2 linked regions of the Macaca mulatta genome follow. The protein of the gene in region 1 interacts with the protein of each later gene in a pairwise test. Links are inferred from orthologs where the notes say so. Each region holds a gene or a part of one and is shown on either strand. Other genes may lie near its edges.

Evidence for each region.
Region 2: the proteins of CTNNA1 (region 1) and ARMC8 interact in a two-hybrid assay, tested with the Homo sapiens proteins (2 studies listed by BioGRID and IntAct). The link is inferred for Macaca mulatta from reciprocal best matches to the Homo sapiens genes CTNNA1 and ARMC8.

What each region holds. Positions count from the first base shown.
Region 1 is NC_133411.1:147,797,645-147,803,403, forward strand, and holds the end of CTNNA1 (catenin alpha-1), read left to right. Parts: intron 1-1,390; coding exon 1,391-1,525; intron 1,526-2,531; exon of another isoform or gene 2,532-2,591; coding exon 2,592-2,879; 3' UTR 2,880-3,801; downstream 3,802-5,759. UniProt on the Homo sapiens protein: Associates with the cytoplasmic domain of a variety of cadherins. The association of catenins to cadherins produces a complex which is linked to the actin filament network, and which seems to be of primary importance for cadherins cell-adhesion properties.
Region 2 is NC_133407.1:41,236,606-41,242,623, forward strand, and holds part of ARMC8 (armadillo repeat-containing protein 8), read left to right. Parts: intron 1-1,185; coding exon 1,186-1,246; intron 1,247-3,806; coding exon 3,807-4,007; intron 4,008-6,018. UniProt on the Homo sapiens protein: Component of the CTLH E3 ubiquitin-protein ligase complex that selectively accepts ubiquitin from UBE2H and mediates ubiquitination and subsequent proteasomal degradation of the transcription factor HBP1.

The sequences.
Region 1 (5,759 bases):
AATTAACCTCTGCTGTTGTCTATTATGTCTCAGTTCCCTCTCTGGGCAGGGGCTGAGGGCAGCCAGAAGCCATGTGGCCAGTGCTGTGGAAGGATGGTGTGCCCAGATGGGGCCAGGTTTCTTCATCCTCAGCACTGTGGCTCTTAGTCACCCTGCCGTCATCCCCCTATTCCCTCACACTGTGATAGGTACAAAAATATGGTTCATATCACCTGGAAATGTACAATATGTTTGATTTGGTGTTTTAAGCCTGATCAAGAGAGGCTCTTTCTCAGTTATAGTTTTTCTCTGTAGTTAACAAACCTCCCCACCATCTTCCCTGAAATATCAAAACTCTCAGCCTCATCTAGGCCACAGGATGTGTGAGACGTCCCTCTTTACTCAAGCCAAAGATTGTAAAGGCATCCTTGACTCCCACACAATCGGTAATAGGGCCTATTGCTTCCATTAGCCAAATGTATCTCAACACAAACCAGTCTTGTCCTGTCTGCAGAGCTCCATAGCCACTTGGACTACTGCGGCTACTCCTGATTTCCTATTCTTTCCTCTCTCCACTTCCTTCTGCATCCAGCTGCCAATACTGTCATCTGAAAATGCAAATCACATGGCTGCCCTGCTTCCATGACTACTTAGAATACAGCTCATCTCCAGTATGGTCTGCAGGGTTTCAGTTCATACCACTCTCTGTGGTGTACTTTGCTTGCTATGAACACTTAAGAGGTGCTCTGTTTCTTCCTTTGGGTAAAGCTTTCTAGGCTGGTCCTAATCTGGGAGCCTCTAAAACCCTGAGATATGGGGGGAGACAGGAACTGGGCAGGGGCCACCCTTTTCTCTTTGACCATCCCTGACTGCTTTTTTTCTTGCTTTCTTTACTCATTTATCCTCCACCTCAGCCTGCAGTGAGTGGCTTTTGTCATCAGGCCTTAATAACGCAAAGTGCATCTGAGCAGAAGAGCTATTTGTTTACTTAGCTCAAAACATCTGGACTTTTCTCCATAGCCAGGCTCCTACTTGCTGAGCCGGCTTGTTCTCACCTTGAGGGGCACAGGCCTCCACCCTGCCATGTGGGGTGAGGGGATCCTTGGCCAGAGTGGTTTCCCTGCTGTCACAGAAGGGAAGTCAGCGGGAGGCTCAGAAGGCCTTGGCTGTACAACCAGTGCCGTGCGGCACAGCCAGGGTCCCATGAACGACTTCCATCAGATAACCTGCCTCCATCCCCAAGCAGAGTGTAGGCAAGGGCTGTGACTGCCTCAGGTAATTGGGTGATTTTGCTCCAGCAAGAGGACAGGAAGCATGTGAGTGCCACCCTGAACCTTTAAGAAACACCCATGGGGTGGGAGGTGCTTGGTCCAGGCCAGGGTGCTCGGTGCTAAGCGTGCTCTCCCTTCAGTGCCCGGACTCAGCTTGCAAGCAGGACCTGCTGGCCTACCTGCAACGCATCGCCCTCTACTGCCACCAGCTCAACATCTGCAGCAAGGTCAAGGCCGAGGTGCAGAATCTCGGCGGGGAGCTCGTTGTCTCTGGGGTAAGCATTAGCTGAGAAAAAAGAGGGCCAGTGGGAACGTGCTGACCCTTGTCAGAAATGAAAGTCACTTCCTATCCACATACACACCTGCCCTGGGAAAGTGTGCTGAGCAGAAACCCCAAGTCCTGTCCCAGCCTCCGGAGACCAAGGTCTGTCCATCATCTGTTCCCTGTAGAACTGTGACACGTGTGGGCCACTGCAAGGGCTGAAAGGCTGGCCTCCTCCCCTTTGCTGGCCACTCACTGGGAACAAATTTTTAAAAATCTTCCTTGGGACCGGGCGTGGTGGCAGGTGCTTGTAAGTCCCAGCTACTTGGGAGGCTGAGACACAAGAATTGCTTAAGCCTGGGAGACAGAGGTTGCAGTGAGCCGAGATGGCACCACTGCACTCCAGTCTGGGTGACAGGGCAAGACTCTGTCTCAAAATAAAACAAAACTTCCTTTTCTTCCCCCAGAGAGGAATTAAGAGTAGACATAGATAGGATGCTTTCTCGAAAGCCCTTCACCCCTCAGAGCGCTTGGGTAGCATCTCTTTCTTTTTATCAGGTCACAGTTCTGAGGCCTTTCTCACCTAGGGCAGGGGAAAGAGGTTTGCTGAGTGGACTGGGGTCCAGCGAGCCTCCGTGGCTTCTTTTAATCCCATTAAATTTCCTTTAAAAGAAACACTTCTTATATTGAACATATTGAGACCATTTGCTCATCTGCTTTGCCATAAACGTCCCTGTCTCGATTCCTGCTTCTCCTCCCCCACGTACTTATAGCTCTGGGATCACTCACAGTGGCTTCCGCTTTGAGTGAATAAACACTTGCTGGGGGGTGGGGGTGAGCAAAGCGAGGCTGCCTCATGTCTTCTTCAAAGGGTCTGAGGGCAGGCGCTTCCAGGCTATTTAGGTAAGAGCAACTGTTGAGGGTGTTCCTCAGCAACAGGCTGCTGCCCAATCCTCTGCCACCTGCCCAGGCCCTGGTCTTGCAGAGGAGTAGGGGGCCCCCCTTCAGGCACAGCCCACCTGTGTCCACGATGCTGGAGGTCAGGCCTGTGCTTCTCACCACCCTTGTCTGCCTTGTAGGTGGACAGCGCCATGTCCCTGATCCAGGCAGCCAAGAACTTGATGAATGCTGTGGTGCAGACAGTGAAAGCATCCTACGTCGCCTCTACCAAATACCAAAAGTCGCAGGGTATGGCTTCCCTCAACCTTCCTGCTGTGTCATGGAAGATGAAGGCACCAGAGAAAAAGCCCTTGGTGAAGAGAGAGAAACAGGATGAGACGCAGACCAAGATTAAACGGGCATCTCAGAAGAAGCATGTGAACCCGGTGCAGGCCCTCAGCGAGTTCAAAGCCATGGACAGTATCTAAGTCTGCCCAGGCCAGCTGCCCCCACCCCTCAGGGCTCCTGAAGATCAGTCACTGTTTGTCACTCAAATGAATTTGCTAAATACTACACTGATGTCAGATTCCACAGGGAAATGGGCAGACTGTGAACCAGTCCAGGTGGTGAATTTTCCAAGAACATAGTTTAAGTTGATTAAAAATGCTTTTAGAATGCAGGAGCCTACTTCTAGCTGTATTTTTTTATATGCTTAAATAAAAGTAAAAATTCCATAACCAAAGAGAATCCCACATTAGCTTGTTAGTAATGCTTTGAGCAAGCCGAGATGCCCATTCTCTTAGTGAGGGCGGCATTAGGGTTTAAGAGAAGGGAATTTGGCTCAACCTCAGTTGAGAGGGTGCAGTCCAGACAGCTTGACTGCTTTTAAATGACCAAAGATGACCTGTGGTAAGCAACCTGGGCATCTCAGGAAGCAGTCCCTGGAGAAGGAATGTTCTCAGAAAGGTCTTTAGAGGAACAAACTCAGTAAAACGTAATGTTTCATGAAGAAAACTGATTACTCTCTTTATGACATGAAATGAGAATTTAAATGCATGGTTACAATTACTAATGTACGCTGCTGCAGGTCATTAATAAAGTTGCTTTTTTTAGGCTACAGTGTCGTAATCAGAACACACTTTTCTCTTTCTTCCAGCTTCAAATGCAAATTCATCACTGGGCTCACTTCTAATAATTGCAGTGTTTCCCACCTTGGGCTTGCAGCAGAAAAACCTGACAAAATAGTGTGTGCTAAGGCAGTAATTTAGACTTTACCTTATTTGTGATTACTATAGTGATTACTGTAACTACAAGGCATAACTTACCATCTTATATAAATTTTACAAATTTTGAATGTTTTTTACACTAACTTTTCCCAATAAAGTCCACTATGAAACCACAACATCCAAGAGGCCAAAGTCGTCATCTCTTCCTTCAAGTGCTCACAGCATCTGTGGTGCTCTGGGCCCTCCCGGTGTCCCTCTCTTCCAGGATGGGGATGCCCGGAAGGGAGGCTGTGGCTCTAGGCTGCACGGCTCATGCCAGCCCATCAGGGAGGGCCATGCCCCTTGTCCTATTGAGTGCCCCACCCTGCACCCCCACCTTGGGAGTTGACATGTCCATTCCTTGAGGTTCATGTCAACCTCGGAGGCATCCCGTCTTCATTATGAATGTCCCCTCTCCTGTGTCCTTCCTGTCAGCACACACACACCTATGATGATAGCGGCCTTCGAGATGAAAACCCCTGAACCCCATGATCCTTTCTCACTTCCAACCGGCTGTCGCCTTGCTCCCTCCACCTCCCCTCGTCAGGGCGACTGCCTTCCACTGCCAGTGACACTGGCAATGGTCTTCAGACCTCATCATGCAAGCTGCCTGGGGGCGTGGCGGGGAGGAGGAGGAGGACAAGGACTCCTGAATGCTGCTAACTCGGCTTCCAGGACACCCCACTCAGGTTCTGCCTGCCTTACTGGGGGCTCCTTTCCTGGGGCTGAGAGGTTGTGTCTGTGCCCACCCTCCTGAGCTCAGGCAGAATCTCACATGTAAAGACATACAAATGCCGACTTCTCCCCAGAGCCTGCCTTTTATAACTGACTGCCGCCTCATGCTCCATTCGGATGTCTAATGAATCTCAGACTTGACCTGTCCAAACTGCTTGCCACCTACTCCCCACCGCCCATCCCCATACCCTCCATACCGGTTTCCCCACGTCACTGCCCTTTCCCTCTTCCCTCTTGCCAAATGCCTAAAAATCAAAATTCTTAGGTGGGTCTATAGTGCAATGGGCTTCTAGTGACAAGAAATCAAAATTCTGACCTTTAAAACGTATGGATAATTTACCTGTCATCGCCTGGCCTAAGCCATCCTGCTGTTACTGCTGTGTAGCAAGTTGCAGCTAAAGCGACCTCGCATGGCTCCTGAAGGTCAAGAATCTGGGAGCAGCTCAGCTGGATGGTTCTGACTTGGGGTCTCATGAAGTGGCCAAGATGCCAGCTAAGGCTGCCGTCTCTGAGGGCTTGACGTGGCGAGGATTTGCTTCCAGGCTCACTTGCGTGGCTATTGACAGAAGGCCTCAGTTCCACGCCGCACGGCGCGTTCCACAGGCAGCTCACAGCTTGGTGGTAGCTGGCTTCCCCAGAGCAGTGATCTGCGAGTGGCGGCCAGATGGAAGCCACGGTGTTCCCTTAAAACCTAATATGGAGAGTGATTCCCCATCACGTCTGTATTCTGCAGGACACACAGACCAAGGCTGGTCCACTGTGGAAGGAAAGGACGAGGTTGCCAGTGCCCGGCGGTGGGGGCCACAGCCAGCCTCCCTGCCAGTGTCTGCCACAGCCAAGTAGCCCCTTAAGACAGGTTAGCTCAGGTCATTCCGACCTCAGACCTTCCAGCGGCTTCCATGTCCCTCGGTAAAAGCCAGAGTCTTAAAGGCCTCTTGCTGGCTCTGGCCTCTTCTCTCACCATTCTCTGCCATCCTGCATCTGTCCCTGGTGTCCCTGAAGTTCTTGAACATGCCGAGCACATCCTGCCTCAGCCTTCACGCCTATGGTTCCTGGCCTGGAATGCACTTGCCCCTAGGACACCCTGTGCTGGTTTTAGCATTTCCTTCCTGTCTCATCAAGTCACCTTACCAAAAAGGACTCCGACAGGCCAAGTGTGGTGGCTCATGCCTGTAGACCCAGCACTTGGGAAGGCTGAGGTGGGAGGATCGCTTGAGCCCAGGAGTTCGGGACCTGCCTGGGCAACATGGCAAAACCTTGTCTCTCTTAAAAAGCAAAACAAAAAAAGACCATCCGTTTATGTATCTCTTAAAGTCTTGCCTTGTGCCACAATGAGAAAGCAGCCCTCACTGGACTGACCTTTGGGAA
Region 2 (6,018 bases), on another chromosome or scaffold:
TCACCATGTTGGTCAGGCTGGTCTCAAACTCCTGACCTCGTTATCCCAGAGTGCTGAGATTACGGGCATGAGCTACCGTGCCCGGCTGCAGAGTTTTTATTAGCACAATGTCTGGCTTATGTAAGCATTCAGTGCATGTTCGGTAATTATCAGTACATGAAATGGATGTGTTCAGCACTTGTGTAGGGTTCTATGCTCAGTTTAATCTTAGTATTTAAGCTGTGGTTCTAATATTTTGGTGAGAATTTGGCATTTTCAATTAATTACTCATGAATTGTTTGGTTTTTGTTTGTATTTTTTGCTTGCTTTTTGTCTTTAAAACTGAGCATTTGCCTCTGTCAGTAAGGTAATGTTCTCAAGTAAATGGTTTCAGAAAAACAATGTGGTAACAAGCCTCAAGATAATAACAACTACAAATATTTTAGCCCTCTACAATATAAGTAAAATAATTTTACCTATTTGTTTATAACTTGTGGTAGAAGCCAACATGGGATGTTTTAATTTTTTCCCCCATCTTGCTAAAGGAATGTAATCAAAAAGGAAATTCATTAATTTAAATTTCTGAAGCGCTTAATGTTCAGCGCCTGCCTAGGGAATACAAATTAATTATATTCTTATTCAAAGGCAGCTTACAATTGTTGTTCATTAGAACCAAATTATTGACTTGTTCCCAAAGCCACTGCTGTTAACCTCTGAATAGTTCATTTATGATGGATAGCTGTGTTACAAGTTAAATGCCTCTTCTGTGATACTTCTGCTGCATTCAGAGTTAGAATATTCCAACTTCACTTCATTTAAACTTAGATAACGTGTTAATCTTATGTTTCATTTTGAACATTTTTCCCTTTTTATTATGGAAAATTCTGACGTATAAAGAATACAACATGTGCCCAGCACCTAGCCTCAAAATGTGTCCATCATTAGGTTATTTATTTTTAAAACTATTTGGTAGGTTTTTGTTTTGTTTTTTTAATAGCTGGCTTCCCATCTGTATTTGTCAGTTAGTTTTCTTTGACAGTTAAATTGACTGAACCTCCGAAAAGCGAATTGTCAAAATCTTCACTCTCAAGATAAGTGATATTATTTGGTTTTCGATTTTTTTATAAAATCTTAAAAAGTTAAATAATTTTTCATGTAAAGCTTTAAACTCCAAGCAAAAACTTACTTTCTGCTGTCTTATTCCAGTTTAACTTACATGTGTAGAGCTGGAGCAATTCGGACAGATGATAACTGTATTGTATTAAAGGTAAGCTAATTAATTATCTTTAAAATGTGAAAATTATCCAGTTATGTGTTAAATATCAGTATTGATATTCATATTTCATTTTACACATTTATCATTATAGTACGTGTGCATGGCATAGAATAATATTAAAAGACCATGCTTTCTTTTCATTGGATGTCATATAGTTTTTAAAAATTGATTTTAGATGTGTTTTGAAAGTCAACGTGAAATAATTCTTTCATTGTCACAGCCTTTTCATTTTATGGTAATTAGGAGGATGTGGAAATTGTAAAAGTGTACAATTCAGGTGGAATAGAAAATATATTTTGTTCTTGATTGTCATTAAATTTGTATTACAGTTTTAGAGGCAGTTTGCTATTTTTGCAGAAAAAGACTTTATATCATTCTTGTAGCTGATAATCAAAAGGCATAATGAAAGACAATAAGTAGATAACACATGAAAACAAGCATTGTCATTGTGATATGTCATATACAACTTGAATTTAGAAAAACCTAGAGAAAAGACCAGCCCTAAAAGTCCTAAAACCTGGGATTCTGGTTTTAGCACTTCCACCTCTGACTGGACATCCTTTATTCTTTTGATGCCTCGGACTCCAGATTATGAAAATTGAAGCATTAATTCCTGCTCATCTATGCCACAGGGTTACTGTGAGGATAACAATATATTAAATACATTAAAATGTCTTATTAGCTATAAAAAATTAAGTATAAATAAATTGATCATGTGTCATTTGATAAATATGAGATCTCACATTATGATGTGAGAGGTGATCCCAAGGATAAAAGAGCACAAAGAAAACTAATATTTGCTTTAGTCTTTGAGGAAGACAATTAATTTAATGAGATCTGAACACTCCCTAAGTAAACAACTCTGCATAGAGTGCCACGGCCTTCCATAGCAATTATCTTGATTTATTTACTTCTCTAACCTTCCTCTTTTTCTGCATTGGTAAAATGTTAGTAGTATATTCTTCATGTAGTAGTCATGAGCATTAAATTAAATAATTCATGAATTTATGGTATCAATAAATATTAGTAACTAGTAATGTTAGGGAAAAAAGTAACTAGTAATGTTAGGGTTGAATTGTAAAGCTTCTTCTAGCCTAATAGGAAATTAGTAGTGAACGATAAAGTGCCAAGCTCTGTGGTAAAAGATTTAATAGAAACTTATATATAAAAGAGCAAAGCACAGTTGCCTGCAATATTTGAGGAAGACTTTCTATAATAATAACATTTCAATTTCTACTTCCACATTGTCCTTTCAAGTGGATCCATCAGGCTTAGAAATAGTAAATGTCATTTGAGACCAGCCTGGTCAATCTGGTGAATCCCTGTCTCTACTAAAAATACAAAAATTAGCCGGGCGTGGTGGTGAGCACCTGTAATCCCAGCTACTCAGAAGGCTGAGGAAGGAGAATTGCTTGAATCCAGGAGGCAGAGGTTGCAGTGAGCCGAGATCGCGCCGTTGCACTCCAGCCTGGGTGACAGAGTGAGACTCCGTCTCAAAAAAAAAAAAAAAAAGAAAAAGAAATAGTAAATGTCTGGAATATTTTTGTTGAGAACCTAATGTAGGTAAGTTACCAAAACCATTGCCAAGATTTTTGAGGGACCTCAGAAGTAAAATTGGACTCGTGGATACCACTACTAATTCCAGCAAGTTCTTGGGAGAAAACCTAGCAACTGTGAATGATACGCTTCACTCACATTATAGTAGAACTGGTGGAATCTGAGTAATGGTAAGATCACTGCAGGTTTTTTTTTTTTTTTTTGAGACAGTCTCGCTTAGTCGCCCAGGCTGGAGTGCAGTGGCGCGATCACGGCTCACTGCAAGCTCCGCCTCCCGGGTTCACGCCATTCTCCTGCTTCAGCCTCCCGAGTAGCTGGGACTACAGGCGCCCGCCGCCTCGCCCGGCTAATTTTTTGCATTTTTAGTAGAGACGGGGTTTCACAGTGTTAGCCAGGATGGTCTCGATCTCCTGACCTTGTGATCCGCCCGCCTCGGCCTCCCAAAGTGCTGGGATTACAGGCGTGAGCCACCGCGCCCGGCAGATCACTGCAGTTTTAAAGCTGTATTTTGTTTTGGCAACTGTAGGTATGACTCCCCAAACCAAAAAATAAACCATATTACTCACTAATGAAGAGATAGCATACTTTTCCTAAGGCAAAATCATTCCTGATTAAACTGCTGGGTCTCTTTTAGGTAAATAAATAGATGGATGGGGCAGAACCATTAGACATGATTTGTTAGAGATTCTTAAATGTCTTTTACAAAGTTGTACAATAGAACTTGTCTTACCGGTCCCAAAAGCCTAATTAGAATTTGTTTTAATATACTTTGATGTGTGAGTAGAGTTTATTGTGCCAGTACAAATGATTAATCTGTACTGAATTTTGCTTGTTTTTGCATTTAAAAAAAATCTTTTATGCTCTGGAAGTCAGTAAAGGAAATATTTGATCACAAACATTACTCCTGATAAAAGCTATTGAGTTGATTCAGTCACTATATGCTTAAGCTTTTACCTTTACCAAAAAGCAAATAATTAATCTCACTACCTTTCAGACATTACCTTGTTTGGTTCGAATGTGCAGTAAGGAGAGATTACTAGAGGAGAGAGTTGAAGGAGCTGAGACACTTGCCTATCTGATTGAACCAGATGTTGAGCTACAGAGAATCGCTAGCATAACTGATCACCTCATTGCCATGCTTGCTGATTATTTCAAGTATCCCAGCTCAGTGAGTGCCATCACTGATATTAAAAGGGTATGTTATTTTCCTTTTTTAGCAGCTCAATGGAGATTTTTTAGTTTTTCTTATTGTTCACAGTTTTGAACCAATTGATAACTACAGCTCAAAGCCCTTTTAAATAAAGGATCTTTTATCTTTGTTAACATAGATAATATTGCTTTGTAAGTTTTTGAATCCAAGTTGTTTAATATTTATTGTCAGGAAGTTTTTACTGAGCAGATAAGCAGTAAAGAAAATTGCATCCTGACTCCTAACTAAACCTCAAAAATAGTGGATTCTCCAAGCTGGGTATTGATATAACTGTATAGTCTTATGCTTGGTCATGGAATCATCTCTGTTTTTATATTCTCATTCTTTAGGTCAGGAGTAATCTTTTTGTTACAGGAGACTAAGTTGTCCCATGTTACTTTCCATCACAGTCTTTCTGTTTTGTTACCTTTCCTTATCTTCTCTTTTTTCCAGTTTCATACTGTGCTTTGGACCTGCTAGTGATAGCTAAAGCATCATTTAGTCTCGAATTTGGGACCAAAAAGGCCAAATTGTGCTTTTTCTGAAAAATCTAAGTTCCTTAGAATACATAGATATTTATTTTGACTTGTTGCATCTCGGCCTATTTGCCTTATCCATTTCTTTAAGCGTAGGCCATGAACATTCTGTAAGAGAAAGTTTATTCAAGGAGGCCATGGTAGAGAGAATATTGCCTCTTAATTAGTAACCAGTACTGTTTCATGAATGTAACTGTATTTTTCATGCCAGTGGTTCCAATGGTAGCTATTCTTTTGACCTCTCCCTCATGCTTTTGAATTTCAAAAAACCCCATCTGGTAGGCAGTTGTTCATTTGGCATTTAACGTTGAAAATAAAGCAGACTATTAAGGGTATATCTTTACTCTCTTAAGAGCCTAAAATAACCTTCATTGGTATTTGCATTAGTAATGTACTCTACCCTCTGGGTATTAAACTTATGTGTCTGCTCTTCTTTCACTAGTGGTGTTTTTCCAGTAGAAGTGATTGGTTACATACATTTAACCAGTTGCCTTGTCTGTTTTCCTTCTGGTCGTTTTTTCACACTGACACTATATCTCACCAATATAAAGATACATGAGCAACCCTTAACTACTGCCTCATGAACACCCTGAGTTGACCACCCAGGAAGGCAAAAAAATGTCTTGATGGCCATGAGAGTAAGGAAACATAATTTTGAGAACATGTAGCCTATGCATATGCAAATCATTTAACTAGTACGTAGATCATCCCTTCTATTAGTTTTTCCATTTCATTTCCATCAGTAAAACTGTAACAACAATAATCCTTAAAAATGACTTCCTAATACCAAACTTAAGTAATAGTTTGTTTTGTCATCTTTATTTTTGATGATGGATTATCCAAAGGTTTCTGACCCCAAAAGTATAGACACTAGACCCATAAAGAGAAATCTTCACATGTTAATAAATTTGTGATTTTCATGATATATTAGTTCAAGTCAGTATTATATCTCAATTTATGACTAGAACGTAGTTAAGACTTTTAGATAATGTTAGAACTTATCAAAGTGAGTATTCTGTATTGGGAAGTTGTTCCTATAATCCATCAGTGTCTGCTTTGAACAAAAGTTTTGGAGCTATTAAGAATTGCTTTCAGAGCCACCCCAAATTATATATATATGTAAAATATATATATATAGTCTTTTGCATTTTGTGGAATTTTTTGTTACCTATGTTATATTACCCAACTGAATTTCTCCATCTTCACGCACAGTCAGTGACAACTAAAATTCTCCTCACTGATCAAGCTATACCACTGTCAGTGTTTTCTAGCTAATAATACCAGTTAGCTCTTTAGGAATTTTCAGAAGAGGATCTCAGAATGTTATGAACAACACCTACATCATCGGATGAGTGAACCTTTCCAAAGTAACTTCTTTGGGGAAAGTGGTATTCATTTGGATGATTACATTAAGGCTTTTAGTTATGAGATTATTTATATTATTGGTAGACTTTGTATAGTTACTTGGTCATAGTCGGTCA